Linked DNA regions of Arabidopsis thaliana. The protein of the gene in region 1 binds, or shares a complex with, the protein of each later gene. Each region holds a gene or a part of one and is shown in the gene's direction. Other genes may lie near its edges.

Region 1 (8,266 bases):
ATATTCTTGCATCTATACAGATTCCAATCACCCAAAGATATGATTAGAATTATCCGTTCTCAGGCATACAAGTGCAGTTTGGTTAGGCACTCATACATACATACTAACATACACTAGCCCAACCACTATGGACAATTGGGCCTGTCAAATTTTCAACCTTGATGTACAGTACGTGTCCGTGATCATTATCTGCCCAGATGAAATTGAAATGTGAAAGATTCTCGAGTTTTCATTTCCAAAACACATGTTAATAATGCTAATACATAGTATTGGAAAATAAGCATATCCACTAATACCGATATGCATGCATATCTCAATATCGCATCGATGAAAACTATGAACTGCCATCACTTGGAACCGTGTCATTTAACTCGACTGTCGCGCGATATAAACTATGCATCTTTGTTGTTCATACCTTCACAACGTTATCATCAACAGTTATGATCACTTATCAGCCAGATTTTTCAAACTCGAGCTTTGTATTTTAGCGGCAATTTGTTTTTGGTAACAAAGGAACCCATGCACTTGTCAGCGTAAAGCAAACACGTGTCCAAACCATTAAGCCACGTGGTCATTGTCCGACTCTACAACCTCTCTCTGTTTCTTCTCTCATTCCTTTATATGATACTACGATTTAATACGCTTTGCATTGAATAACAAAAAAAAAAACAGAGCACAATGACTAGATTTGCGGTATTGCCACTCTCTGTTCTTCTTCTCGTTCTCTTGTTCCTCTGCACTGAGTCGTTGGCTAAGTCGGAGGAGTCTGAAGAATACGACGTCGCTGTGCCTTCATGTTGCGGGTTTTCGTCTCCTCTTCTGATTAAGAAAGATCAATGGAAACCAATCTTCGAGACGAAGTTTGGACAGATCTCAACCGTTCAAATCGGCAATGGATGCGGTGGAATGGGACCTTACAAGATACATTCCATAACGTTGGAGCCAAACACAATTTTGCTCCCTCTTCTTCTTCATTCCGACATGGTCTTCTTCGTTGACTCTGGTACATAATAAACTGTTTAAATTTCTTCGGTTTGGTTTACAGATCAGTTTCGGTTTAGGTCAAAATTGGATTGTGATTTGTATAGGAAGTGGGATTCTGAATTGGGTTGACGAGGAAGCGAAGAGTACCGAGATCAGACTAGGAGACGTTTACAGGCTACGTCCCGGTTCGGTTTTCTACTTACAGAGCAAACCGGTGGATATCTTCCTTGGAACCAAACTTAAGCTTTACGCAATCTTCTCCAACAACGATGAGTGTTTACATGTATAAGTTTGATATGATTCTTTCTTTTTTCACTTTCTTGACATCTTTTTCTTCTTCTTATTGTATCTGTATTCCATGGATGCAGGATCCTTGCTTTGGTGCCTATTCGAGTATCACAGATCTAATGTTTGGTTTTGATGAGACAATTCTCCAGTCAGCTTTTGGGGTATGTCTTAATCTGCCGATGAATAAGTTACGAATTGTCTATATCTTACTTGGGAAGCAAGATAGGAATTGTGTATATCTTACTTCCCAACTTACTCTAGTAGAGGATATTTTGGGTTGTATTAAGTGATATATTAAATTCAATGGTTTTAATTAGGTTCCTGAGGGGATTATAGAGCTGATGAGGAACCGTACGAAGCCACCATTGATCGTGAGTGAGACGCTTTGCACACCAGGTGTGGCCAACACTTGGCAGCTCCAACCGCGATTACTAAAGCTCTTTGCTGGAAGTGCAGACTTGGTGGATAACAAGAAGAAGAAAGAGAAGAAAGAGAAGAAGGAGAAGGTGAAGAAAGCGAAGACATTCAATGTTTTCGAATCTGAACCGGATTTCGAGAGCCCCTACGGTCGTACTATAACGATTAACAGGAAGGATCTGAAAGTTTTAAAAGGCTCAATGGTTGGAGTTTCCATGGTGAATCTCACTCAAGGATCGATGATGGGACCGCACTGGAATCCATGGGCTTGCGAGATTTCGATTGTATTGAAAGGAGCAGGAATGGTTAGGGTTCTTAGGTCTTCGATATCATCAAACACATCATCAGAGTGTAAGAACGTGAGGTTTAAAGTAGAGGAAGGAGATATTTTCGCAGTTCCACGGTTACATCCAATGGCTCAAATGTCTTTCAACAATGACTCGTTAGTGTTCGTTGGGTTTACTACTTCAGCTAAGAATAACGAGCCGCAGTTCTTAGCCGGGGAGGACTCGGCTTTGCGGATGCTTGACCGGCAAGTATTGGCTGCATCGCTTAATGTGAGTAGTGTGACGATTGATGGATTGTTGGGAGCTCAGAAGGAAGCTGTTATCTTGGAATGTCATTCTTGTGCGGAAGGAGAGATAGAGAAGCTTAAGGTGGAGATAGAGAGGAAGAAAATAGATGATGAGAGGAAGAGGAGACATGATGAAAGGAAGAAAGAAGAAGAAGAGGCGAAGAGAGAAGAGGAAGAGAGGAGGAAACGTGAAGAAGAAGAAGAGAAGAAGCGGTGGCCACCTCAACAACCACCACAAGAAGAAGAACTTAGGGAACGGCAACTACCGATGGAGAAAGAATGGGAAATGGAAGGTGAAGAGGAGAGTTAAGCCGGAGGAGTAAAAGAGAAGGCCAACGTACGTCAAGAGTGTGTTTGGTTTGTTGTTAGTGGTTAGAACTTTGGTTCTGACCTCTCTTGTAACTTTTTTTTTCCATAGTCTTGTTTATTTGTTAATGTACTTTTGCATTGTTTTTGTTGTTGCCATGTTTAAAGTTGTATTGTGTTTGTATAATGTTTTGTTTTGTTTAAATCTTTGTAGATGGTAAATGAGAAATAAGTAAATATTTCCGAGAGACTGTTGAGTGACGACGTTACTTCTTGTTATTGATAACTCTGTGGTTTATTATACACTTGTAGTAGTAGTCGTACTTGCTAACTTATGTCATTTGGTTTACAATTGTATAATGTATTTGTAACCCTCTTGCTATAGCTTCGGCATATTAAAGTTTTGAATGGTGATAACGGAGGAGTCGTAGATAATGCAATCAACTTCCCATGCTCTGTTCTCTTGTTGTTGCAAGAGATATTGGAATAAAAGGCAAATTTATCTCAAACACAGATTGGGCCATATCTTGAAAAGGCAAATTCATAAAACTCTCAAAAAGTAGATTTATCCCAAACACGAATTGGGCCAACTATTGGACCGGATGCGCTGAATAATGGGCCTTATCAGATTTGGACCGGCCTGTTTTTATATGACATTTACAAAAATACCCTCACAGGAGGTCCCGTGTTGGCTATAAAAAAATAGAATAATCCGTAATTGCCCTAAAATAGTTTGGTTTCTGCATCCACCCCTTTCTTCGAATCTCGACGGCTGAAACAGATTCTAAATTTATCTCCGGTGAGAAAGAGATAGAGAGCGTTGATTCCGGCGAAAAGATGTCTGAATTCGAAGATCACGAGGGAAACGGTACGGTTGCTGACGCGATTTACGACGAAGAGAATGGTGGCCGCGACGGCGAAATCGAGGATCAATTGGACTCGAAACCCAAGGTAATTTCCCCCCTGATTATCTTCAATCTCCTAGCTTATAGTTGGAGTTTCGAATCTATATTTCCTAGCAATTGGATTGAATTGAGAATCGAATTATGAGATGATTAGTTTTAAAGCTGCTTCTGTTTCATTGATTCTTAAACTGTAATTGATGAGGTTTTGGGTGTGTTTACATGTGCAGAGAGAATCGCGTGACCATGAAAGAGAGACATCAAGAAGTAAAGATAGAGAAAGAGAGAAGGGTCGTGATAAGGACAGAGAAAGAGACTCTGAAGTCTCTCGCCGAAGCAGGGATAGAGATGGAGAGAAAAGCAAGGAGAGGAGTAGAGACAAAGACAGAGATCATCGTGAGCGTCATCACAGAAGTAGTCGTCACAGGGATCATAGCAGGGAGCGTGGTGAAAGAAGAGAACGTGGTGGTAGGGATGATGATGATTACCGTCGAAGCCGTGATCGTGACCATGATAGGTAGACTGTTCTTGAATTGAATTATACATTTTCAATTTAGATTGAATCCTTTTTGATTTTATGGAAGGTACTGATTTGGCTTATTTTTTATTCTTCTAGGCGGAGAGATGATAGAGGAGGAAGACGCAGTCGTCGATCTCGATCTCGTTCAAAGGATAGATCTGAGCGCAGAACAAGGTCACGATCTCCATCGAAAAGGTAGCATTTTTTTCTCATTGGATTACTTACTCTTCTATGAAGTAATTGCTTCAATCTAAGAAAGTTTCTAACCTCACTCAATATATGTTGTTGCAGTAAGCAGCGAGTCAGTGGATTCGATATGGCACCTCCAGCCTCTGCAATGTTAGCTGCTGGTGCTGCTGTTACAGGTATATCTCTTTAATTTAGCACCTTCTCATTAGCATAATGTAGAATTCATACCTAATACACGTACTGGGATTGATAAAATCTGTTTCTCCTGAATAACTACAAAAACATAGGCTGTTTTCTTTCTTTTTTTACTTGGGACATAACGCTAGAACTGAGAGCTTTTGGTTGTTTGGTGGTCTTTGTGTCTCTTGTTTGCTTTTCTGTTTTGGTAAGGCAACACTGGGTGTGGGCTGGTTAGCTCTTATATACAAGGAAGAATTACTGCGTATGGGTATTGCTCATCCTCAGTACATATCACTGGTTTTGTTAGTCTTGCAAAAATTTTCCATGCAGACTTAAACCTCTTGATGTCACCAATACATTTCCAGGGATGGTAAACTAGGTTTTCTCATATGTAATTTTCTTATGTATTAACCTGTTTTTCTTTTGTAGGCCAAGTTCCTCCCGCTCCACCAACTCTTCCTGGGGCTGGAATGTTTCCCAACATGTTTCCATTGCCGACTGGACAGGTCTGTGGTCTTTCCCTTTTAATATTTTCTTAATTGATGTCTTTCTTGAACTAAGTCGTCTATGTCCTACAGTCATTTGGGGGACTCTCTATGATGCCAATTCAGGCTATGACACAGCAGGTTAGATTTTATTTATCATGGATATACGCAAGATACTATGTATTTCTCTGTTCTAATTTAATCCTTATTTACTTTGTGTCTTCAGGCAACTAGACATGCTCGCAGAGTCTATGTCGGTGGGCTTTCCCCTACGGCAAATGAACAGGTTATTATCCACTTTCTTTTTTCATTTTCTCCCACTGAAATATGTTTCAGCAAATAATGATACTAACATTGATTTATTATTTTGTATTTGCAGTCTGTGGCTACATTTTTTAGTCAAGTTATGGCTGCTGTTGGTGGAAACACTGCTGGTCCAGGTACATAATCCTGGTGCAGATGCTAGAGTGTCTATTATGATACTTGGATTAATCTTTTTTTATAAATCTTTTTTCTTACTCGCAGGTGATGCAGTTGTTAATGTCTACATAAACCACGAGAAGAAGTTTGCTTTTGTGGAGATGCGATCTGTTGAAGAGGCAAGTAACGCTATGTCTTTGGATGGGATTATATTTGAGGTATGTTTTAATGTTTACCGCACTACCAAATATTTGGTTGAGTTTTAGTACTGGCATTTCTTTGGTATATAGGTTACCCAACTGAATGCTTATCTTTCTTTTTCTTTTTTTCTTTTCCAGGGAGCTCCGGTGAAGGTGAGGAGACCTAGTGACTATAACCCATCTCTAGCTGCGACTCTTGGTCCAAGCCAGCCCAGTCCCCATCTAAACTTAGCTGCTGTTGGTCTGACTCCAGGTGCTTCTGGTGGGCTTGAGGGACCAGATCGTATTTTTGTTGGTGGACTTCCATATTACTTCACGGAATCACAAGTGAGGGAGTTGTTGGAGTCCTTTGGAGGCCTCAAGGGCTTTGATCTTGTAAAAGATCGAGAAACAGGGAACTCTAAAGGATATGCCTTTTGTGTGTACCAAGATCTTTCTGTTACAGATATCGCGTGCGCTGCCCTAAATGGTATCAAGATGGGAGATAAGACTCTTACAGTGAGACGTGCCAACCAGGGAACAATGCTACAAAAGCCTGAACAAGAGAACGTATTATTGCATGCACAGCAGCAAATAGCTTTTCAGGTAATTTTTTTTCTTCTTAATAATATTGGAAGAAAACAAAATGAGCTTGCAAAACGTGTTGAGACCTAACTTGAATATTTCCATTTATAAGATTAAAAGACTGATTGATGGTTTTATCTTTTGCAGAGGGTTATGTTACAGCCTGGTGCAGTGGCAACCACTGTGGTGTGTCTGACTCAAGTTGTTACTGAGGATGAGCTTAGAGATGATGAGGAGTATGGAGATATAATGGAAGACATGAGACAGGAAGGCGGAAAGTTTGGTAAGAGACCTCTTAATTGCGCAATATGGTCTATTTTGAAATATAAGATTAAAAGCATATTGATCTGTCTCTCTGTTTTCTTGGTTGTGCTGTTTTACAGCCTTTTGCTATAAAGAATCAGCCCTAACATACACAGACAGGAGACTGCATAAACCTCCTAATCTATTTATCACCAATGGCCACTATTTCTTAAAAGAAAAAACTGACTTGTTTTTGTCTGTGTTTTCTTGTCTTGTATTCGAAATGTTTTGTTCTTTAACTCTTAAAATGCAGGTGCTTTGACCAATGTTGTGATTCCGCGTCCAAGCCCCAATGGTGAGCCAGTGGCAGGCCTTGGCAAGGTAAACTTATCTCTCTCTCTTTCTCTCTACTTCTTGTATATTTCTATTTAGTCGTAATCTGACTGTCTGATATATTTAATGTGCAGGTGTTTTTGAAGTATGCCGATACAGATGGCTCGACTAGGGCAAGATTCGGGATGAATGGTAGGAAATTTGGAGGAAATGAAGTCGTTGCAGTGTATTACCCTGAAGACAAGTTTGAACAGGGTGATTATGGAGCCTGATCACTTCTTTGTTTGCTTTCTATTACTTAAAAGTTAAGTACTTTGCTTCAGTTTCAAGACCCTTTTGCGTGATTGTAAGAGTATGAGATTATCGACACGTTGCTTATTATAACGTTTTTATCTCATATCTTTGGTCTATTTCTTAAATATTTATCTCAAAAATTATTCACAGAATAACATCATGAGTCCCTCGTAAAACATCATTCGTCTCTCGTAAATGTGACATATGTTCTAAATCAACACAAGAAGTTGAGTACTCTCTCTATTGAAATATTCAAGTAGTTTGGTTCTCTTCTGATAGAAGAAAAAAGAAAGAAAAAGAAGCAAACTTGTAAAACCCAAAAATCTCTGTTAAGCCACTAAAACCCTAAAGGCGTCTCCTTTTCTCGCCACCACTCTCCACAATACCCATTTCTGCAAAATGGCTTCTTCTCGTATTTCTCTCCGCCTTGTTCGCCGATTTGCCTCAGCCGCCGCTGACGGTACGACCACCGCTCCCTCTTCAGGCAAAATCTCTGTCTCCAAAGCTAAGTCCACTCTCCGGAAAGAACACGATCCCGACAAAGCTCTTAAGATCTACGCCAATGTCTCCGATCACTCAGCCTCTCCTGTTTCATCTCGCTACGCCCAAGAGCTCACTGTTCGTCGCCTCGCCAAGTGTCGCCGTTTCTCAGACATCGAAACCCTAATTGAATCCCACAAAAATGATCCCAAAATCAAAGAAGAACCTTTCTACTCTACGCTTATCAGATCTTACGGCCAAGCCTCTATGTTTAATCACGCCATGAGAACCTTCGAGCAGATGGATCAATACGGCACACCCAGATCAGCTGTTTCCTTCAACGCCTTGCTCAACGCTTGTCTCCATTCCAAGAATTTCGATAAAGTCCCCCAACTGTTCGACGAAATTCCTCAGAGGTACAATAAGATCATCCCTGACAAAATCTCTTACGGTATATTGATTAAGTCATACTGTGACTCTGGTACCCCTGAAAAAGCCATTGAGATTATGAGACAGATGCAAGGTAAAGGCATGGAAGTTACTACCATTGCTTTCACCACCATTTTGAGTTCATTGTATAAGAAAGGTGAGCTCGAGGTAGCTGATAACTTGTGGAATGAGATGGTGAAGAAAGGCTGTGAATTGGATAATGCAGCGTATAATGTTCGTATAATGAGTGCTCAAAAGGAAAGCCCTGAAAGAGTTAAGGAGTTGATTGAAGAAATGAGTAGTATGGGATTGAAACCTGATACGATTAGCTATAACTATCTTATGACTGCGTATTGTGAGAGAGGAATGTTGGACGAAGCTAAGAAAGTGTATGAAGGACTTGAAGGTAACAACTGTGCTCCCAACGCAGCTACTTTTAGGACATTGATATTTCATCT
Region 2 (7,118 bases), on another chromosome or scaffold:
CTTTTCTAACTAACTTCAACATTTCACTTCAATACTTCAACTCTCTTTCTCTCTCTCTCTAGTCTTTATATAAACCCTACGTACGTACTCTCTTCACACTCACTGAGTCAAACTCACGTGTCAATGACCGAGTCATCCATTATCTCCGTCAAACAATCGTCTCCGGTGCCGGAGGAGGAGGATCATCATCATCACCAACAAGACTCCCACCGAACCAACACCAAGAAACGTGTAAGATCCGACCCGGGTTACCGAGGCGTCCGGATGCGAACGTGGGGCAAATGGGTCTCCGAGATCCGAGAGCCTCGCAAGAAGAGCCGAATCTGGCTAGGCACTTTCTCCACACCGGAAATGGCGGCGCGTGCACATGACGCAGCTGCTCTCACCATTAAAGGAACTTCCGCCGTCCTCAACTTCCCGGAGCTCGCCACTTACCTTCCCCGTCCAGCTTCCTCCTCTCCACGCGACGTTCAAGCCGCAGCCGCCGTAGCGGCCGCCATGGACTTCTCCCCCTCCTCCTCCTCTCTCGTAGTCTCCGATCCAACCACCGTCATCGCCCCAGCTGAGACGCAGTTGTCTTCCTCGAGCTATTCAACGTGTACGTCATCGTCGTTGTCACCGTCAAGCGAAGAAGCTGCGTCGACGGCGGAAGAACTAAGCGAGATAGTGGAGTTACCGAGTCTAGAGACGAGTTACGATGAGTCATTGAGCGAGTTTGTGTACGTTGACTCGGCGTATCCACCTAGTTCGCCTTGGTATATTAATAATTGTTATAGCTTTTATTACCACAGCGACGAAAATGGCATTTCGATGGCTGAACCTTTCGACTCTTCCAATTTTGGCCCCCTTTTTCCTTAGTTTTATTTTTAAATAATCTCTTCTTTTAAAAACATTTAGCCTCCAAACCTCTGAAGTTTATTTAATTATTGGATTCAGACCAGAGTTTAATATACTTGATTAAACCTGATAGTACCATATAATGTTTATTGCTCTCTTTTTTTTGATCGGATCTTCTAGATATTTTGTACGAACACGCCAATTGTGATTGGACGATAAATGGTTTTTTGTTTATATTTTGCTAATTAACTTATATAGTTTAGGTGACCATTTTTTATACTTTAGGTGAACATTTGAGAATTAAACTATTTATATCAAAGTAGCGGTAGATAAAAGTATTATCTGAGATGGTTTGTTAGTTGACATATATTGAATCTTTTCAACTTGGTATTTATTATCACCCTCTGTATTTAATTCACAAAATTTCTACTGTTAGCTTCATATAACCAACTTTTTCAATTTAAATTATTGTTTACAGTGAATGAGAAATACAAGTACAATGCAATATTTAGGAAATACACTTTTGAGAAGAAAAATAGAAACTCATTTTCTTTCCCTAATTAAAAACAATTTGTACCAGAGAAGTAAAAGATTATCGTTCTACCAAAACGAATTTGCAGGTTAAGGATTATTTATCATTTCCTCTTGTTTGACTTTGTTTGCATTAGTCAGACATAATTAATGGCTTGACCCTTAATTTAACATGTCCATGCACTAACTCATATGCAAATCCAACGATGTGAAATTTAAAACCTTTTTTTTATTCATTTTTAATCTTTGTAAAACGAACTTATATTATGTTTGAACAAATATTTTTTCATACGCAATCCTTAGATGGGGAAATTAATACCTTTGTAACAAAAAAAAAAAAAAAATGTTAAATCAACTAAGTATTGGGTGAGTCTTCTCAACGAAAACATCAATCAACACCGGCCTCATAAGTTGATTAAATTAACACATTTATTATAATCATCGTACATTGATTTGAATCAAAATTAATTGTTACGTTAATTAGTAATGCATCTAACTATCCCGTAGGAAAAGGCCATTATATTGGGATCCGCGGTCAACGGAGGTTCCACCCACGAGCACGGTCTTTATTTGTTTTTTCCTTTCTCAAATATATATACGGATGTATGATTTTTTGCTTTTGGGGTTAAACAAATATGAATTACTGTGCTTAGATCAGAAATAGACACTTTTATACAAATGATTATATGATTACTGTTCATAGCATAAGCTCCTATGAAAACAAATAATAATCGCAACAGCCGTTTAACCTAATCGAATGCTGAAAAGCCCTCAAAATAGTTCATCTAATCCATGAATCGATTTAACAGAAAAAGTTGAAAATTGTATGCATATGATATACTCAAGTATATTCCGAGTTTTGAGTTGTGTAATGCAAGGAGTCAAGGACCATAGTTTGTCGTTGAACACAACCACGCCAAGTTGTCCACCAAAACTGGAAACTAACTACCATGCCGTTGTTTCCATAGAAGCAAAACCATTAACCTTCCCATTATCCCGCATGGCCACATATATGTTTAATAATATTTCTCACCATACATTTAAGTCTCTCTCGTAGTCGTTATTTACATAGCCTACGTAGTTCATTCATATCATTTTTGTTTCTTTACCTTATATCAAACAAATTGGTTGTTGATTAGAAAAACATAAATTGGTTCATTAAATATCAAACTAACGCCATCAATCTATTGTTTTTTTATAAAAAAATGAAAGAGAAGAAAGTTTGTTGATATGAAACTTACACTTGCTTTGAGTTTTGATAGACAAACCAAAGCCTAACTAGTATTTCCTCTATTGGTACTTGAATTCTGAACTTTTTCACCTTCCCTTTCGAGGTGGTTTAACAGTATACCAGTTGAGATGTACCAACACCAAATTCTTATACTTTTTTTTCTTTTAACCTTGAATTCAGTATTTTAAACGAAACTATGGGAATGTGTTTGAGACGGATTTTCATTAAGGACAATGCAAATAATTATGAGATGCTCAGAATTGTTGTATATATCAAAAAGCCAACACCTATAGTTATATATATAACTTTCTTCGATTTAAAAACAATAAGTCGCTTTGGCCGAGTGGTTAAGGCGTGTGCCTGCTAAGTACATGGGCTCTGCCCGCGAGAGTTCGAATCTCTCAGGCGACGTTATCCTTTTCGTTTTTTCGTCTATTTTTAAACCGACTTACATAGACACTGCGTATAAGACAATTGATTCCTTTTTTTTGTTGTTAATCCTATCAACCCTAGAAAAGGCTTCACGCCCGATTTCTTTTTTCCCCAGAAAAAGGCTTCACTTCCGTTCGTTGTTCTTCATCGGTCTGCGCCGCCTCGCACATCGTTTCACCTTTCTCAGAATCTCTCTTCCCGTCGATTAGTTTCCTCAGAGGTTAGCTTCTTCGATTTCTCAGATTCAATTCTGCTTTTTGCTTTCCTCCTGTTGTTTTTAGGTTTTTGTCGATCTCTATGTTCAGCGATTCCTAAACCCTACTTGTTTTCCGCTCTATTGTAGTGAATCCAACCCAGATTTTTCAGATTTTAATCGGAATTATTCGGGATCTAATGCTCGCGTCGAGTTTATCGCTAGAAAACCCTAATTTCGGAGGATCTGTCACTTTTATTATCAGAAGCTTGTTGTTGTAATTACGGATTAGGTATGTCCTGATCGTTATTGTTCTTTGTTTGCAGGTTGCGATTTGTTGAAAACCTTGATTTAGACTATGAAGTCTCTTAATGATCTTCCTGCGCCCAAATCAACCACTACCACGTATTATGATCATTCTAATGATGCTTGGTTCAAAAACCGAGTCACTGAATCCGAGACGGTGAAATCCTCCAGTATCAAATTTAAAGTGGTGCCTGCTTACCTGAATCGTCAAGGTTTACGTCCGAAGAATCCAGAGGATTTTGGCGATGGTGGTGCTTTCCCGGAGATTCATCTTCCTCAGTATCCTCTTCTTATGGGTAAGAATAAATCCAATAAGCCTGGAGCTAAGACTCTCCCTGTTACTGTCGATGCTCAGGGAAACGTGGTCTTTGACGCTATAGTGAGGCAGAATGAGAACTCGAGGAAGATTGTTTATTCTCAGCATAAGGATATTATTCCAAAGTTTCTGAAAAACGAGGGAGACTTGGGTACTGTTGTTGATGAAGAGGAGGAATTGCAGAAGGAGATTCAGGAGACTGCTGAAGAAACGAAAGCTGCCATTGAGAAGATTGTGAATGTGAGACTGAGTGCAGCGCAGCCTAGTAATATAGCAAGGCAATCGGGAGATTCACAGTACATTAAATATAAGCCATCCCAGCAATCTTCTGCCTTCAATTCTGGTGCTAAAGAGAGGATCATTAGGATGGTGGAGATGCCTGTAGATCCACTTGATCCACCAAAGTTCAAGCACAAGAGAGTCCCAAGGGCTTCTGGTTCTCCGCCTGTTCCGGTCATGCATTCACCGCCCAGGCCTGTTACCGTCAAGGACCAGCAAGACTGGAAAATCCCTCCTTGTATCTCCAATTGGAAGAATCCGAAAGGTTACACAATCCCTCTTGACAAACGTCTAGCTGCTGATGGAAGGGGCCTACAAGACGTTCAGATCAATGATAACTTTGCCAAGTTATCAGAGGCCCTCTATGTAGCTGAGCAGAAAGCTAGAGAGGCTGTTTCAATGCGTTCCAAGGTGCAAAAAGAGATGGTGATGAAGGACAAGGAAAGGAAAGAGCAGGAATTGAGGGCTCTTGCCCAAAAAGCTCGCTCCGAAAGAACCGGTGCTGCTATGAGTATGCCTGTCTCATCTGACAGGGGTAGGAGTGAAAGTGTTGACCCAAGAGGTGATTATGACAACTATGACCAGGATAGAGGAAGGGAAAGAGAAAGGGAAGAGCCTCAAGAGACGAGGGAGGAGAGGGAAAAAAGGATTCAGAGAGAAAAGATACGAGAAGAGCGTCGCAGGGAAAGAGAGAGGGAGAGAAGGTTGGATGCCAAAGATGCTGCCATGGGGAAGAAGAGCAAGATCACCAGAGACAGAGACCGTGACATCAGTGAGAAAGTTGCTCTTGGAATGGCATCTACTGGAGGAAAAGGTGGTGGTGAAGTTATGTATGATCAACGTCTGTTTAACCAAGACAAAGGAATGGACTCTGGTTTCGCTGCTGATGACCAATACAACTTATACGACAAAGGCTTGTTCACTGCACAACCAACTCTTTCGACTTTGTACAAGCCAAAGAAGGATAACGATGAAGAAATGTATGGAAACGCTGATGAGCAGCTCGATAAGATCAAGAATACTGAGAGGTTTAAGCCTGACAAAGCTTTCACAGGGGCTTCAGAGAGGGTGGGTAGTAAGAGAGACCGACCTGTTGAGTTTGAGAAGGAAGAGGAACAAGATCCTTTCGGTCTTGAGAAGTGGGTTTCTGATTTAAAGAAGGGTAAGAAACCTTTGGACAAGATCGGGTCTGGTGGAACTATGAGAGCAAGTGGCGGTGGTGGTAGCTCTTCAAGGGACGATGACCACGGCGGTTCTGGTCGAACCAAGATCAATTTCGAACGCAGTGACCGGCGTTAAAAGTCAAGACAAAGAAAAAGCTCAGTAACTGATCTTTGATTTCAATATATAACTTGTTATTTTGGATCTGTTAAAACAGTTTGCTTTGGATTATCAGTATTTATGTTGTTGTGAGTCTCTTAAACTACTCGAATACAATCTTTCAGCTTCATAATATCAGATCTTTTGAGCTTATTTTAGTTTCTTTTTCACTGTTACAACTTTGTGTACTTAAGAATCTTAGTTTTGAATCAGGACAACAACAAAAAAGACACATGTTCTTCTCTGGTCTTATCTCCAAGCTTCATGTTCATGGTACTAAGAGAACAAATCACTTCACGATCTTTCACCGTTTGAATCATTTCGTCACTACATCATCTTCCTCGGTTACGCCTCTTTCGCCTCAAGATCGAAACAAACTCTTAGCTACTCTGTTATCAAACTGCACTAGCCTAGCTCGTGTTCGTCGGATCCATGGTGACATCTTCCGTTCACGAATCCTCGATCAATATCCGATCGCTTTCTTATGGAACAACATCATGCGATCTTACATTCGCCATGAGTCTCCTCTCGATGCAATTCAAGTATATCTCGGTATGGTGAGATCGACTGTTTTACCCGATCGATATTCTCTTCCGATTGTAATCAAAGCAGCCGTTCAAATTCATGATTTTACGTTGGGAAAGGAGCTTCATTCCGTCGCCGTTAGGTTAGGGTTCGTCGGAGATGAGTTCTGCGAGAGTGGGTTCATTACATTGTATTGTAAAGCAGGGGAATTTGAGAACGCACGTAAGGTGTTCGATGAAAATCCTGAGAGAAAGCTGGGGTCTTGGAACGCCATTATCGGAGGGTTGAATCACGCTGGTCGAGCTAACGAGGCGGTGGAAATGTTTGTGGATATGAAAAGGAGTGGACTTGAGCCTGATGATTTCACTATGGTTAGTGTGACTGCTTCTTGTGGAGGATTAGGTGACTTGAGCTTGGCTTTTCAGTTGCATAAATGCGTTCTACAAGCTAAGACCGAAGAGAAGTCTGATATCATGATGCTGAATTCGCTCATTGATATGTATGGAAAATGTGGGCGTATGGATTTAGCGAGTCACATATTCGAGGAAATGCGACAGAGAAACGTTGTCTCTTGGAGTTCTATGATCGTGGGTTACGCAGCTAACGGGAATACATTAGAGGCTTTAGAATGCTTTCGTCAGATGAGAGAATTCGGTGTCAGACCAAACAAGATCACGTTCGTTGGAGTTCTCAGTGCTTGCGTCCATGGAGGTCTTGTGGAGGAAGGAAAAACATATTTTGCGATGATGAAGTCAGAGTTCGAGCTAGAACCGGGATTATCGCATTACGGATGCATAGTTGATCTATTGAGCCGTGACGGGCAGCTTAAGGAGGCAAAGAAAGTTGTTGAGGAGATGCCGATGAAGCCTAACGTGATGGTTTGGGGTTGTTTGATGGGAGGGTGTGAGAAGTTTGGGGATGTTGAGATGGCTGAGTGGGTGGCTCCATACATGGTTGAGCTTGAGCCGTGGAACGATGGTGTTTATGTTGTCTTGGCTAATGTGTATGCACTCAGAGGGATGTGGAAAGATGTTGAGAGAGTTAGGAAGTTGATGAAGACGAAGAAGGTTGCTAAGATTCCTGCCTATAGCTATGCTTCAACGACATTTTGAAACTTGTTTCTCTACATGTTCGAAAAATGTAACATC
Region 3 (7,236 bases), on another chromosome or scaffold:
TGAGAATAATGCCGGCAACGGAAACTGCGTTTTGAAGGGCGAATCTTGAAACCCGACAAGGATCTGCGATTCCAGCGTTTAGAAGATCCTCATACTTTCCAGACATTGCGTTGTAACCACTTCTCCATTCGAGTTCTCTGGTTTTCTGCACCACAACTGATCCATCAACCCCAGCATTGGTTGCTATGGCCATTGCAGGTGCAGTGAGTGCCTGCAAACAAAAAAATTAAAGTGATTTTTCACTCTTAAAAGGTTACTTTACGAATCCAGTATGGTTAAGAAAACATGTTTTGTTTTGTCATTACGTTTTCATACCATTGCTACAATATCTGCACCTATTTGTTCGTATGAATCTTCCATTAGATTCTTCTTGATTCTCGGTATCTCATCTAAAAGATGGATATAAGTAGCACCACCACCTGGAACTATACCTTCTCTCATGGCTGCAAATGTAGCATTCTTCGCGTCCTCTATTCTTAGTTTTCTGTCCTCAAGTTCTGTTTCAGTGTGGCCTCCAACCTATATTGAGACAGGGTTAAGCTGATATATAGGACTCAAAAGAAATATCAAGAGCTGAAACAGTATTTTTTATTCTTACTTAGGTAGAAATTATGTTCTGATGAAAGCCCAAGTTGTCGCAGCATATTATAAACAAAGAATGGGTTATTGTAAAATCGGACCTTTATTACAGCCACGCCTCCTGTGAGCTTAGCAATTCTCTCTGCTATTTTTTTTGAAAGATATGAATTATCTGTCTCAGCTAGATCCTTCTTCATCTGAGCAATTCTTGCCTGAATCTCTGGTTTAGTAGAAGCGTCTGCGACTATAGTTGTTGAATTAGCTGTAATTACTACTCTACGAGAAACACCCAGCTGATCTGAAGTTGCACCCATGAGCGACATGCCTAAATCTCCGGAAAGATAATCAGCTCCTGTGTATATGATTTGTCATGTTATCACCTGAAAATTTTCAGTAAAAATTTACTTGGAAAGTACAAATGATTGAGAAAAACCTGTCATGAGTGCAATGTCTTGTAGCAAAGCCTTTTTCCCATCCAACATTCCTGGACATTTCACAACTGCGACATTGATCAAACCTTGCTTCTTGTTCACCACCAGTATCTCAAGCACTTCCGCAGAGATATCTTCTGCAATTATAAGGAGCGGAACACTCAGTTGTGAGGTTTTCTCCAGTAACGGAACTAATTCTTTGGCTGAAGTGATTTTCTGATCCGTCACAAGAATTTTAGCTTTGTCGAATTCCACCGTAGATTTCTCCTGATTTGTGATGAAATGAGGCGACATATAGCCCTTGTCAAACTGTACAAAAGAAATTTCCTCATGAATCACAGAAACTCAATGGTTTGATAATGTTAACAATGGTAAGTGTGAAACTGCCATTGTGAAGCCTTTAAAACATCCAACTTAAGTTTGAAACTAACCTTCATTCCTTCCTCAACTATAACAGACGTTTCTGAAGTGGAAGATGATTCAATGGAGATGACACCATCAGGGCCAATCTTTTCCACAGTCTCAGCAATCAAATTCCCCACAAATTCATCGTTACCAGCAGAGATTGAAGCCACAGCTACAGAACACAAAAAATCCCTATTATTTCAAAATTAAGACAGGAGTTGGATCATAATTATTTAGTAATAAGTATAAAGTAACCTTTAATATCATTCTTCCCTTGAACAGGAATACTTTTCATCTGCAACACCCTGACCAACTCTTTAACAGTCTTATTCATTCCATTCTTCACAGAAACAGCATTAGCTCCAAAAGCAATAGCCAAAGAACCAGCTTTGATCATTTCTCTAGCCAAAATGATTGCAGTGGTTGTCCCGTCACCCGCTGATTCGTTCATTTTAATCGCAACCTACACAAGATAGAAACTCGCAAGGTTCAGATAACTAATTGATACCATTTAGAGCTCAAAGAATGAACTAACAATGGGGAAAAGAAGGGGAATCATTTAGCCACCATGAATATGAATAACCTCTTGGATTAATGTTGCTCCAGCGTTCTCAATAGTGTCAGGAAGCTCAATAGATTTAGCAATGGTGACACCATCGTTAATCACTTTGATTGTATCTTTTTCAGCAAGCACTACATTACGCCCTGCGTCGTGGTTTCCACATTGAAAAAAAATCAATTCGAAATCCCAGAGAAGGGTTGGTTTGCTCATAATCAGATTCTGCCCGGAAAAAAACTTCAAATCGTAGCCAAAATCGAAATCTAATTCACTAACCTCTAGGGCCTAAGGTGATGGAAACAGCATCAGCTAACTTATCGATTCCGGCTTGGAGTTTCTCTCTGCTATCTTTACCGTATAGTATTCTCTTAGCTCCAGCTCTCACCACCGAGAATTTTCGAGGTTCGTTCCTCTGTCCACTACGGCGCTACAAGAGGCAAGAGCGAGAGAACGTGAAGATTATGGGGAAAGAAATTGAGGCGAGAAGAAGAATTGTAACTCACCGGAGAAATGGTTGTCGGCGAGAATGACGACGGTGATACGGCGAACATTTCGGGTGTCTCCTCTCCTCCGGGAGGTTTATCGAAGGGTTTTGATTTTTATTTTTGGGTGACCGAGTTTTTGGAACCGGACGAGTCAAGGTACGAGTTTTTTCTTTTTTTTTGTCAACAACTTTGACACAAAGCCTTTAAAGCTTTGATTTATATAAGCCCATAGTTTGCAAATTTGAAAGCCCATAAGAATTAACAAACAAAGTCAGACCGTAGCCAGCTTCCGGCAAGTGTTGTGTTTTGAAAAACTTTCACAGTCGTCGATTTCTTCCTCTCTCCCTCCAAAATTCACTCTCTAACTCGTTTTCCGACAGGGTTAGGGTTTTGCTATTCAATTGCTCCGAAGATTGGATTTGTTTGAGAAGAAGACCTAAGGAAGAGAAATCTTCGATGGCTAGAGCGAGAAGCCGGAGCAGAAGCTATAGTCCCCGTCCTCGTGACAGGTCACCACCTCGCGAACGGAAAGGCTACGACGATAATCGCCTCCGCGAACGTCCGTCTTCTCGTGATCACGAATCCTCTGGTCCTTCTGGTTTGCTTATCCGTAATCTCCCTCTCGATGCTAGGTCTCTCCGTCCTTCTCTACTGTTCAGATTCCATCAAGGACATCACAAGTTCTCTAATGTTGATTAATTGACACGAGTTTTGGAATGTTTTCTTGTTTTTCAGGCCGAACGATCTTAGGGATTCGTTTGAACGGTTTGGTCCACTCAAGGACATATACCTGCCTAGGAATTATTATACTGGGTATATGTCAAGCTTTGTCTTTTATAATCAGATGCTTTTAGCTATTTCCTAGCTTAGCTTTAGCTTACTGGTTATTTCTCTTAACAATGTCACATTGTCAATGTGTATGGATTCTTGACTAATTTGATTGGTAACTTTTGGTGTCAGTTCAAGTAGTTGTTTGTTGAGTAGGAACTCTTAACTTTAATGTGATATTATTTTGTGGTTTAGGGAGCCGAGAGGGTTTGGATTTGTTAAGTATCGTTATGCTGAAGATGCAGCTGAGGCAATGAAACGAATGAATCACAAAGTTATTGGTGGGCGTGAGATAGCCATTGTTTTCGCTGAGGAGAACCGGAAAACTCCACAAGAAATGCGTACTACTAACGGTACAAGGTGAAGAGTCCGTTTTCTTGTGTTTGTATCATATTTTTATATGAATGTAAATGTTTTGTAAGTAATTATCTTAGTTACTTCCAAATCCTATTTCGTTTAATATAGTGGTCGACACGGGGACTACAAGAGGACTTCACACAGATCACCAAGGCGCAGATATCGTTGTAAGTAGCTTTTTGGTTTGCTTTTAACATTTTTGATATGTCTCAGGACAACTGCAGTGTATGGTTAGAACAATACCTATGTACCCTGTGATGTTTACTAACTATGTCCTTTCTTGTCATCAGCTCATTCACGTTCGCGTTCGCCTCCAAGGCGAGAGTCAAGGTTTGATTCTCATCTATATCTATTAGGCATTTGTTATAATAGTGTATGATGACTCTCTGTTTCATAAGGCTCTTTATTTATTCTTGGAACTCGCTCATGTGAATGCAAACGGCACTGGTTCCTAGTCACTTAGATTGTCTGTCAGTTGTGTGTGGATAATACAATGACAAGGCACAAATTGGACACGTCTAGGTTGATAAGTCTTGTAGAAAAAATGTTTATTAGGGTGTCTGTTTTTCCTAAAATCTGAACCTGAAGACTTATTTCACCAAATGTCATCTTCACCAGCTTTGGTAAGCTAGAGCTTGAATACCACTTGGTCAACAAGTTATCTATAACTTTAGCAAGAGAGTTTTGTAGGTACTATCTGTACTGAATTGAGCTTGACTTGTGTTTTGTTTTGCGTATGCCATTTTGTCATCCGGTCAAATAATGAATGAATAGACTTATAGTGGCCAAAGAAAGAATGGTATTTGGAGAAATAGAGCCATTCAATGTTGTGGACAGTAGAGAAATTTCACAAGATTAAAGATAGGTTTTGTTCCATAAACTCGGAGAAATGAGAGATTTTGGAGCGTTTTGCTCCAGAAAAGTTGGAGAGAAGAGATCTTTCAAGTTATAAATGTATCTTCCAGAAAATGTGTTGAAGGTAGTCATTAGATAAAGAAACAACTTTTCTCAGTTATAGCGTGAGAAGGAACAAAAGCCATTTGAAGAACATTAGTAATACGTTTTCATTCTTCTTGTATTGTATGTTTAGAACAAAATTAATTGTCTCAGTATGTAAAAGCCGTTTTAATCTTCTTCTTTTTCACTGGCACAAGCACAGGCATAGTAAAGTAAGAGAGGATGATTTGTACTCTCCTCGAAGAAGGTCAAGATCTATTTCACGTTCTCCTTTGCCTCGAAATGAGAGGGAATACAAGTCTAGAAACTGTAGAAGTCCTAGAGAGGAGAGGGTGCTTACTCCAATCAGGTCTCGATGTCTGTCAAGGTCCCGTTCTCGATCCTTAAGGTAAATAAATAGCTGCATTGTTATTTAATCTAAATGCCTCTCTAGATCAAGGACTAGAGCTAGCGCCATTGACATTTAGTTTGATTCACTCACATCCAACTCTATCTCTATTAACATCTGTGATGACTGATGATGAATGGTGTTTTGTTGCAGTCGTTGATAAATAAGAAGAAGGAATGGCTTTCTATAATACTATTTTGGCTTTGAAGTAGGCAACTTCCTTAGTGAAACATAAGAGGAATCTGAAGTTTTACTATAAATATTTTTGCTCTTTTTGTTTTGTTTGTTTGTTTCATTTTAGATAACCCAACTTAAGTTCCATTCTCTGTTTTGTAACAAACCTTCAATGTTTCACCAATATCCACAAGCATAACCACAAGATCATAGCAAGACATCCTAGCTGTTGGATATGGTTCTCTAACAGTTTTTAGTCACAAAATTACTAGTATACTGTCAAGTATGGTAGAATATAAGCAGATAAAAACAATTGTTCCATTCTGTGCTGATTAGTGAACCATCGAACAATAAAACTGAGTCATTTAGTTGTCTTTGGAACTCACTACGAAAGCATCTGAGAGGAAATAAATGGGATGACAACAAACAAGAGATGGAGAGAGTAAAGCTCATTCAAAAATGAACATTTTGCTTTATTATGAGATACAAATCAAAACATGACAAGAACTTGTGATTCTCATTTCAAGGGACACACTTTCTCGAAGGCTTCTTGCTCTTTCCTACACAGATCAAACTCGTTTGTGTAGTAATACATACACCCAACATAATCATCCATCTCCTTTTGGCACTTCTGGTGAAGATCCTTCAGCCTGCATAATTCATACAACAAATTTAATGCTTTACCGAAGAAATAACATAATATCTGCATGTGGACCCAACATTATTAATCTACGATCTCGATGATGCTGAAAGTCTTCTTATATTGATATTATTAGAGGATTACATCATACTAAACAACTTCTGCACATCCAACTAAGTCTTAGACCAACATTTTTAGGGAAGCAAATGGCTTCTTAATGGCTTATAAGTTGAGGAAAAAACCATGAGAAGTTGTGGTATGAAACTGTTTCTACTTGGCCAACATCTGAGAGCAAGGATATATGAAACAACCCAATTTCTACAAAGATTGTAATATGTCTGAGTGTAATAGATAGTTCCTCCATGAAATACAGTCTGAACTCTAAAGCATATACAAAACCAGAGCTCAATGAAAAACGATTTGATGGCTGATCTAAGCTCAACCTATGACTTCCATAACTACTTAAGTGTGCTTTTTTTATGGTCTCATGCCCATTGCTAAGATGATTCCACGATATTGTCACAGCTATAGTCAGATACTTTGGCTCACTTAGTTTAGCACAAAAGAAGTGATCAAAGTCCCTACAGTTCCTAATTTCTTGAAATCCAGAGACCCAATCGTTTCTTCATTCAGGTCTCATTTCTGAATCCCAGGCTTACACTCTATGATTAGAATCCTAAATCAACCATTTGATACTCGAGGCTTCCTAACCAAAACCAAAGCCAAAACTACTAAACTTGCAAAGTAGAAGGAAAATATAATGAGCTAAAGATACGTACAAGCCAAGCACGCAGCGAGTGACGTCACGACCTTTGTCGAGACACTTCTCTGGGTTTGGATCATTCTTCTTGCATTTGAGGAACGCAACATTCTCCGGCATACACCTCATACCTATATGCTTCGCTGACGCCGTTAAAACCGCCGAAGTAGGGATCGGGTTTCCCGTAGCGTCCACCGCACTCGACATCGCACAGCAAATTCGAAATTCCTAAACCAGAATCCGAAATGGAGAAACTAAAATTAATCCAATCTAACGCAATCCCCCAAAAAATCGGAATCGAAATCCATGAATCTAAACTAAGAGAAGCTGACAGGAAGATAAAGACTGAGAGAGCAGAGAACGAACATCGTCGTACCTTTTCAACGGATCGATTTGGATCTTCTTCTTCTTCTCCACTGAGTCCGACGGAAATAGAAAAGAGAGAGAGAAAAGAGAGAGAGAAAAGAGAACAACAAAACCAGGTGAGAGTAGCTAAAAGAATATTGGGCCTATTCAGATTTAATGGGCCGAATGAAAATTTAGTGTCTTGTCTCTTTTTAATGACAGTGTTCCTACTTCCTTGGTCTCATTCCCGTTTCATCTCCGCCGCCGTATCACCACCGTGTTGTCGCCTTTTGCCATCGGTAAGTTTCTTTAGTTTCTGATGCTTTCA
Region 4 (7,507 bases), on another chromosome or scaffold:
AATATCCTATAAAGTCGATCAAAATTGTTCTGTGGGTAAGACCTTTAGACACATTACCTGAGGCCAAAACATTAACCAGACAATAATTCACGTGATGTCTGGTTTGTTCGGTATATTATCTCCGGCCAAACGGGTCAATGGCGATGGCCTCCCTCTGTTTTACAATATCCACAAGTCAGTGGAGCTTCAGAGATGTCACAGAGACACTGCGCGGGTGTCTGTCACACTTGCAGAACTTCTCATGAGTGTGGAAGATGAGGGGGATGACCAGAGTCGGGCTATGGATATTGCGGTTGCGTCCAATTTCTGGTCCTCGGTTCCGTCTTCTCGTGTGCCTTCTTCTTCTCCGTTTGTTCTTTCCTTCAAAGACTTGACTTACAGCGTGAAGATCAAGAAGAAGTTTAAGCCCTTTCCTTGTTGTGGGAATTCACCTTTTGATGGTAATGATATGGAGATGAATACTAAGGTGCTCCTGAATGGTATTTCTGGTGAAGCCCGGGAAGGAGAGATGATGGCTGTTCTTGGAGCGAGCGGGTCAGGGAAATCAACGCTTATCGATGCATTAGCCAATCGGATTTCAAAAGAGAGCCTACGCGGTGATATTACTTTAAATGGGGAAGTTCTTGAATCTAGCCTGCATAAAGTCATATCAGCTTATGTGATGCAAGATGATCTTCTCTTCCCGATGCTCACCGTGGAAGAGACGTTGATGTTTTCTGCTGAGTTCAGGCTTCCAAGCTCGCTTTCTAAGAAGAAAAAGAAGGCACGGGTTCAAGCTCTGATTGATCAGCTCGGCCTGAGGAACGCAGCAAAAACCGTGATCGGTGATGAGGGACACAGAGGTGTGTCTGGAGGAGAAAGGAGAAGGGTCTCAATTGGAACCGATATAATCCATGACCCGATTATTCTCTTTCTCGATGAGCCAACTTCTGGTCTTGACTCTACCAGTGCATACATGGTTGTCAAAGTGCTTCAGAGAATCGCACAAAGCGGCAGCATAGTTATCATGTCCATCCATCAGCCGAGTTACAGAATCTTGGGATTACTCGATAAGTTAATCTTCCTATCTAGGGGAAACACCGTTTACAGCGGCTCCCCGACACACCTCCCTCAGTTCTTCTCAGAATTCGGTCACCCAATTCCTGAAAACGAGAACAAGCCGGAGTTTGCACTCGATCTTATCCGTGAGCTGGAAGATTCGCCAGAAGGAACGAAATCCTTAGTCGAGTTCCACAAGCAATGGCGAGCAAAGCAAACCTCAAGCCAGAGCAGAAGAAACACCAATGTATCTCTCAAAGATGCAATCAGCGCAAGTATCTCGAGAGGTAAGCTTGTCTCCGGAGCAACAAACCTAAGATCATCATTTCAAACCTTTGCAAACCCATTCTGGACTGAAATGCTCGTAATTGGTAAACGATCTATACTAAACTCAAGAAGACAACCAGAGCTATTCGGAATCCGCCTAGGAGCTGTACTAGTCACCGGAATGATCCTAGCCACAATATTCTGGAAACTAGACAATTCACCAAGAGGTATACAAGAACGCTTAGGGTTCTTCGCATTCGCAATGTCCACAACATTCTACACATGTGCAGAAGCAATACCAGTCTTTCTACAGGAACGTTACATATTCATGAGAGAAACAGCTTACAACGCTTACCGGCGATCATCATACGTCCTCGCTCACACAATAATCTCCATCCCTGCTCTCATAATCTTATCCGCCGCATTCGCCGCCTCAACATTCTCGGCCGTAGGACTCGCCGGAGGCTCCGAGGGATTCCTCTTCTTCTTCTTCACAATCCTCACCGCGTTTTGGGCCGGAAGTTCCTTCGTGACGTTCTTATCCGGCGTAGTCTCACACGTGATGATCGGATTCACGGTGGTTGTAGCAATCCTCGCTTATTTCCTCCTCTTCTCCGGATTCTTCATCTCTAGAGATCGAATCCCACTCTACTGGATCTGGTTCCATTACCTCTCCCTAGTGAAATACCCTTACGAAGGTGTTCTACAGAACGAATTCGAAGATCCGACGAAATGCTTCGTCAGAGGGATCCAGATGTTCGACAATTCGCCGCTGGGACAAGTTCCAACCGCCGTGAAAATCAGCCTCCTGAAGAGCATGAGCGGCGTTTTGGGGATCAACGTGACGGCGGAGACTTGCGTAACGACGGGAATCGATATACTGAAACAGCAAGGAATCACGGAGATAAGCAAATGGAATTGCTTGTGGATCACTGTAGCTTGGGGATTCTTCTTTAGGGTTCTCTTCTACTTCACACTCTTGATCGGAAGCAAGAACAAGCGTCGCTGATTTACAAAACAGAAAATTATTAGAGTAACTTGACCAATGATTATGATGTACTTAATACTTATGATTAATACGAAATTGCATATGTTTGCTAAATCTTTAATGGGCTTTAGAGTTGATATAAGGCCCAATAAAAGTACTAAATTGGAAAGTGTGCAATTTTCTATTTTCTATATCGGTAATATCGACGTTTATCTCGCCGTGAAATCTAAACCGTTGATTGAAACAAATCGCTACCGTTGAATCTCGTCGGTTTCCAAGTTATAAGATAGGGGTTGAAGACTAATCGCAGTATCATCCGCGGTTCACTTCCTTCGTTTCGAAATTATTAGGGTTACTGCGTATTTGCACTCTCCTTCTTCGTCTCTCCAGGTACGAGGAAGAATCTTTGTAATTGGATCTGTTTAGGGTTACGATTTTATTGTTCTTCGCTCTCTAGATTAGGGATTTCAATTGGTTTCTCGTTTCCTCGCCGTAGATTTCCTTTATAGGTTTCCTTCTGTCTAATCTGATTAGAGATTTATATTCTCCCCTCACGAAATTTTCTTCTTTTCGCCTCTGAATGTGTTATTCAGTTTGGTTTCTTTGTTTTTGGATTTGTGTTCTGCTGAAAAATCATAGATATTCACATGGGTTCTATGTTTAGGTCTGAGGTAGTGTTTTAACTCTCTGGTCTTTTTCTTGTTTATATAATTTGAAGAGGATACTGTTATTCTTTTTCTTGTGATTGGCATATATATATATATATATACATATGTGCCTAATAGCTTATGTTAAAAATATTTTGCAGCTTGACAATGCCTCGCTATGATGATCGCTATGGAAACACTCGCCTCTATGTTGGTCGCTTATCATCTAGAACTCGTACCAGAGACCTTGAGCGTCTCTTTAGCAGATACGGAAGGTAAAGAGTCATATTCCTTTGTCTTGACTGACCTAATTTGACTTTTGTATTCTTGGGGAGATAAGTGTTTGGATTTTTTGTTAATTGTTCTTTGGTGTGAATCTGGAATGATTCCTCTTTGATGTTGTGCAGGGGATATATACCTAAAGTTTAACATTAGAATCAAAGAGGGTAGTTTTTACTTATAACGTTGCATTGGTACATGTGGGAAAATTGTGGAGCTAGGTTTAGTGGATTTTTTTTTCTTTAACTTGAATGATCTTGTTGAAGGTTTCTGGGGGTTTGCCTAACCTGGAGATGTTTGATGAATGGGTGGACTGTGGTGTAATTGGTGGAAATTCTCGTCTGGTGTATAGAGGGTGCATCGGCGATTTTGTTTGTTGATTTATTGCATGTTTTTATTGGAAATGGCCTCAAATCTCAAAAACTGGTGTTTGGAAGTTCCTTAAGTAATGATGGCCTTGATTTTCTGGCAACAATTTACGCAGAGTACGAGATGTGGATATGAAGCGTGATTATGCCTTTGTTGTAAGTCTTATATTACCCTTTTCCTTTATTCAAGCGTTTGATTCTCAAGTTTGTCATGCGCACAAACTTTATATATATGTTATGCATCTATCATTGTCCCTCACATTTTGAGAACAGGAATTTAGTGATCCTCGTGATGCTGATGACGCAAGATATTACTTGGATGGACGGGATTTCGATGGAAGTCGCATCACTGTGGAGGCATCAAGAGGGGTTAGTTATTTGTGTCTGTATTACCGATTCTCCATTGGCTTGATAATTTGGATGAAAAATTACTGATATCTTGCCAAACTTTTGAATTTATGATAGGCTCCTCGTGGTTCGCGGGACAATGGTAGCAGAGGCCCACCTCCTGGTTCTGGTCGCTGTTTTAATTGTGGTGTCGATGGCCACTGGGCCCGAGACTGCACAGCAGGAGACTGGAAGAATAAATGTTACCGCTGTGGTGAAAGAGGACACATTGAGAGAAACTGCAAAAACAGTCCTAGTCCAAAGAAGGCCAGGTACTAAATCTTTGAATCTTTGTTTTTCCACAGTTTGTTCTATTCTTTAAGCTTCTTCTCATATCTCTTTTGGATTATAATTCTCCAGGCAGGGTGGAAGCTATTCCAGGTCACCAGTCAAATCCCGCTCCCCTCGTCGCCGAAGGAGCCCAAGCCGTAGCCGTAGTTACAGTCGAGGTCGCAGCTACAGGTCAGTTGTGAATTTGGACTTCTCGAAAATTGTCTTATAAATGCAAATACGGAATACAATAGGAGAGCCACCAAAAAACTTACCTAGAAATTCATATTTTGAGCTTCATATGTGGGGTAAAAAGCTTAGAGCAATTCTGAGCTTTTTCTGGAACTATATTAGTTTGATCTTTAAGCATGTCCCGTAGACAACTATTTTCCCTTAATATTGTAGAAATGATTCGTACTTTGTAGCTATTAAGTATGTTGACAACGCTAATTCCATGGCTTATGCCCTTTGGTTGACTCTTTATTTCTCTGTTCATCAGTCGATCGCGATCCCCAGTGAGAAGAGAGAAAAGCGTGGAGGACAGATCACGCAGTCCTAAGGCAATGGAGCGATCTGTATCTCCCAAAGGTAGGGACCAAAGCCTGAGTCCAGACCGAAAAGTGATAGATGCAAGCCCAAAGCGTGGATCAGACTATGATGGTAGCCCAAAAGAGAATGGTAATGGCAGGAACTCTGCGAGTCCCATTGTTGGAGGTGGTGAAAGTCCTGTTGGACTTAATGGTCAAGACAGGAGCCCGATTGATGATGAGGCTGAGCTTAGCCGTCCTTCCCCTAAAGGCAGTGAGTCACCTTGATGGTTCACAGGTTAAAAGCTCTATGTAGCATTCTGTACTGAAGGATGTTGTTTCCTTTCCCTTTCTTTCTGCGTGATACTTTTCTTTTCGTTGCGTGACAATCCTGGATGTTACTTTGCCTTCTCTCTTGATGACTCTTGGTTTGTTTTCCGACAACTTTCAAACTCTGCGATGTTACTTTTCATTGTTTAGTAAGAATCATGCATTTATGAAATTCTCGCTTGTGGATCGTTTAGTAAAGAATAAAGCACCTCGTAATGTCTTTTTTGGCAAAAAAAAAATTTGGTAAGTAAAGGAAAAAGGATTTAACTATCGCAGTCTGGGTTTCTTTTAGCCTCTTTAATTGTTAAACAGTTATGACAAAAGAAATAACAACATTGACTTTTCTTTGGATGAAGCAACTGCTTGTATGTATCATTGTACCCCTTTCCTCTCTATGTCCGACAAAAACAAAAATGCTTGTGAGGAGGATCAAGACGTTTTGTATGTATGTACATAAACTTTGAATTACTGTGGCACATTAAACTTGGCTTCATAGGGTATTTTCAAGGCCAAGTTCGTCCTCAATATCGTCACCATCTTCGAACAGCTTGAGAAACCGGGCCTGCTCTTGTTGCCGTTTCTTCTTTCTCCAATACTTGTAACCTACCAAGAGTCCCACCGCAACTACACCTAACAAGAGTACTACAATCAGTACCACAATTCCAGGATGCATTCCGCCCTTTTGTTCTTCCTTCTCGGTGCCTGATTCTTTATTCGAACCTGCCAAAAGAAAAAGAATGCATATGAATATGATAGTCCTAATCACAGAGAACAGATTCAAACTGAAGCTACAGCCAACAGAGATACATGTGAAAGAGATTCCGTTTATAGTTGAAACAGTATTCATGGCAAAACAGTAATAAATGACCCTAAAGCTCAAGATGTGTTGCTTGGTAAAACTCACCAGCTCCAACTTGTGAGCATCCATGGCAGAGAAAAGTAGCATTAAATTCTTTCTCTTTGAAGCGCTTGTAACTACCCTCTGCTGTGAAATCAGAAGGGCAAAGCTCCCATTCGTCAAATGTATCATATTTAAGAGGGTCGTCCTCATAGATTCCACATCTCTTGCATTTTGTTCCTTGAAGTTCGGTTAGTGGCTGAAAAAAAATCAAAAACAGAACAGAACATAGAGGTCAAAGACAGTGATAATAAATTGATGATCACCTTCAACATAAGACAACCTATTTGTTTGCACGTTAAGTAGATTTCACAGATGAAGAACCCCTCTACCATTTCGAAACTAAGATCTAAATTCTGGAGCAGATTCAGCAACCAAAACCATATCCCTAACACATTCCCAAAAAAATAAGTCAATCGCTAAGAACCAGAGTAAAGGCAGCTCTTTTTTTCCTGGTTTCAGATCAAAACCAAACCAAACCAAATTTCTAAATTCATGCTAGAGCTTTGAAATTCAACAACATAATCAAAACCAAATCATCTGAGCTACATTTCGGGAAACAAAAGACAAACCTGCCAAGATTCTTCGCCATTGAAAGAGTAAGAAACATTGGTTCTCTTCACATCAGGCAACACCGTCTTGTTCTCTCCTTTGCATTGGAAAAAGACTGTAGGCTTAGTCGAGAACCAATCGTGAGTCGTGAAAATCTGAACCGAATCTAATGTAACTTCTTGTGTTAGTATTGTTCCTGTTAGGGATCAAAACAATGAATCCTCGTCAATGATCATCTATTATTGCACGAGCAACAAAACACTTTCCCAATTCGAAAATGAAACTAAAATCACTCATCCTCAGAATTCTGTGATATTTACCTGGTAACGAGCTGAAGAAGATGAAACAGAGTAGGAAACCGCGAAAATCCCAAGAAGCTGACGGAATTTGGATTGACATCGCGATTCTCTCTCGAATCGCTCGATTGAATCCGATCAATGTATAATTAGGGATTTCGATTGACAGGAGAAGCTAAGTTGAAAACGATGCAGATCAGGAGGTGCTGTTGGATCTCGTCGAGCTTTTGGCTATGGAGTTGGAGAAATGCGTATTGATTCGTATACGAGGAGGAAGAAAGGAACAAACCGATCCTCTTGTGTTGACCGCTTTGGTTTTCTTATTTATATTCTCTAATTTATACTATGTCAACTATTCGAAAGATTTTATTTAATTTGCCAAACAGAAGTAATATTAAAATTTTAAACAAAAAGTAGTATATTTTGAATTTTTATACATAAATACATTATGATTTTATAATGATAATGAAATATTTAATCGTTTAATATAGATGTCTAAAAATAGATGTCTAAAATTTACAACAACAAAAAAAAACTAAAAAAAAAATATGTAATATCAGTTTAGAAATCTCTTTTGAGAAAAAAAGTTTCTAGAGATATATAATAAGAAATTAGAAGAGAACACAATTACCCAAGCATATTTCTAAATAATTCCTTTAT

The links.
Region 2: ATU2AF65A (region 1) and SKIP share a complex: the UniProt entries of both Arabidopsis thaliana proteins name them as parts of the spliceosome.
Region 3: ATU2AF65A (region 1) and SCL28 share a complex: the UniProt entries of both Arabidopsis thaliana proteins name them as parts of the spliceosome.
Region 4: ATU2AF65A (region 1) and RS2Z32 share a complex: the UniProt entries of both Arabidopsis thaliana proteins name them as parts of the spliceosome.

The regions. Positions count from the first base shown.
Region 1 is NC_003075.7:17,292,750-17,301,015, reverse strand, and holds ATU2AF65A (U2 snRNP auxilliary factor, large subunit, splicing factor), read left to right. Parts: upstream 1-3,287; 5' UTR 3,288-3,406; coding exon 3,407-3,520; intron 3,521-3,701; coding exon 3,702-3,988; intron 3,989-4,087; coding exon 4,088-4,186; intron 4,187-4,282; coding exon 4,283-4,356; intron 4,357-4,789; coding exon 4,790-4,866; intron 4,867-4,938; coding exon 4,939-4,986; intron 4,987-5,071; coding exon 5,072-5,131; intron 5,132-5,224; coding exon 5,225-5,285; intron 5,286-5,370; coding exon 5,371-5,483; intron 5,484-5,603; coding exon 5,604-6,050; intron 6,051-6,176; coding exon 6,177-6,312; coding exon of another isoform or gene 6,313-6,585; coding exon 6,586-6,653; intron 6,654-6,739; coding exon 6,740-6,877; 3' UTR 6,878-7,069; downstream 7,070-8,266. Other genes in the region: AT4G36700 (RmlC-like cupins superfamily protein), read left to right, coding at 679-1,003, 1,089-1,267, 1,353-1,433, 1,590-2,573; AT4G36680 (Tetratricopeptide repeat (TPR)-like superfamily protein), read left to right, coding at 7,299-8,266. UniProt on the Arabidopsis thaliana protein: Necessary for the splicing of pre-mRNA.
Region 2 is NC_003070.9:28,998,097-29,005,214, reverse strand, and holds SKIP (chromatin protein family), read left to right. Parts: upstream 1-3,079; 5' UTR 3,080-3,251; intron 3,252-3,374; exon of another isoform or gene 3,375-3,550; 5' UTR 3,551-3,582; coding exon 3,583-5,424; 3' UTR 5,425-5,638; downstream 5,639-7,118. Other genes in the region: AT1G77200 (Integrase-type DNA-binding superfamily protein), read left to right, coding at 124-858; AT1G77170 (Tetratricopeptide repeat (TPR)-like superfamily protein), read left to right, coding at 5,679-7,082. UniProt on the Arabidopsis thaliana protein: Splicing factor involved in post-transcriptional regulation of circadian clock and flowering time genes. Associates with the pre-mRNA of PRR7, PRR9, ELF3 and GI, and is necessary for the regulation of their alternative splicing and mRNA maturation.
Region 3 is NC_003076.8:6,266,838-6,274,073, reverse strand, and holds SCL28 (SC35-like splicing factor 28), read left to right. Parts: upstream 1-2,748; 5' UTR 2,749-2,915; coding exon 2,916-3,091; intron 3,092-3,194; coding exon 3,195-3,272; intron 3,273-3,482; coding exon 3,483-3,647; intron 3,648-3,752; coding exon 3,753-3,811; intron 3,812-3,934; coding exon 3,935-3,974; intron 3,975-4,803; coding exon 4,804-4,989; coding exon of another isoform or gene 4,990-4,993; exon of another isoform or gene 4,994-5,049; intron 5,050-5,142; coding exon 5,143-5,149; 3' UTR 5,150-5,430; downstream 5,431-7,236. Other genes in the region: Cpn60alpha2 (TCP-1/cpn60 chaperonin family protein), read right to left, coding at 1-211, 316-519, 681-931, 1,013-1,319, 1,442-1,587, 1,671-1,878, 1,999-2,120, 2,251-2,401 and 1 more; AT5G18800 (Cox19-like CHCH family protein), read right to left, coding at 5,681-5,813, 6,583-6,770. UniProt on the Arabidopsis thaliana protein: Involved in intron recognition and spliceosome assembly. Probably active at the 5' splice sites.
Region 4 is NC_003074.8:19,832,109-19,839,615, reverse strand, and holds RS2Z32 (RNA-binding (RRM/RBD/RNP motifs) family protein with retrovirus zinc finger-like domain-containing protein), read left to right. Parts: upstream 1-2,527; 5' UTR 2,528-2,683; intron 2,684-3,101; 5' UTR 3,102-3,108; coding exon 3,109-3,215; exon of another isoform or gene 3,216-3,703; coding exon 3,704-3,743; intron 3,744-3,860; coding exon 3,861-3,956; intron 3,957-4,052; coding exon 4,053-4,246; intron 4,247-4,334; coding exon 4,335-4,436; intron 4,437-4,743; coding exon 4,744-5,059; 3' UTR 5,060-5,376; downstream 5,377-7,507. Other genes in the region: ABCG20 (ABC-2 type transporter family protein), read left to right, coding at 95-2,314; AT3G53490 (valine-tRNA ligase), read right to left, coding at 5,592-5,821, 6,006-6,198, 6,572-6,747, 6,872-6,950. UniProt on the Arabidopsis thaliana protein: Probably involved in intron recognition and spliceosome assembly.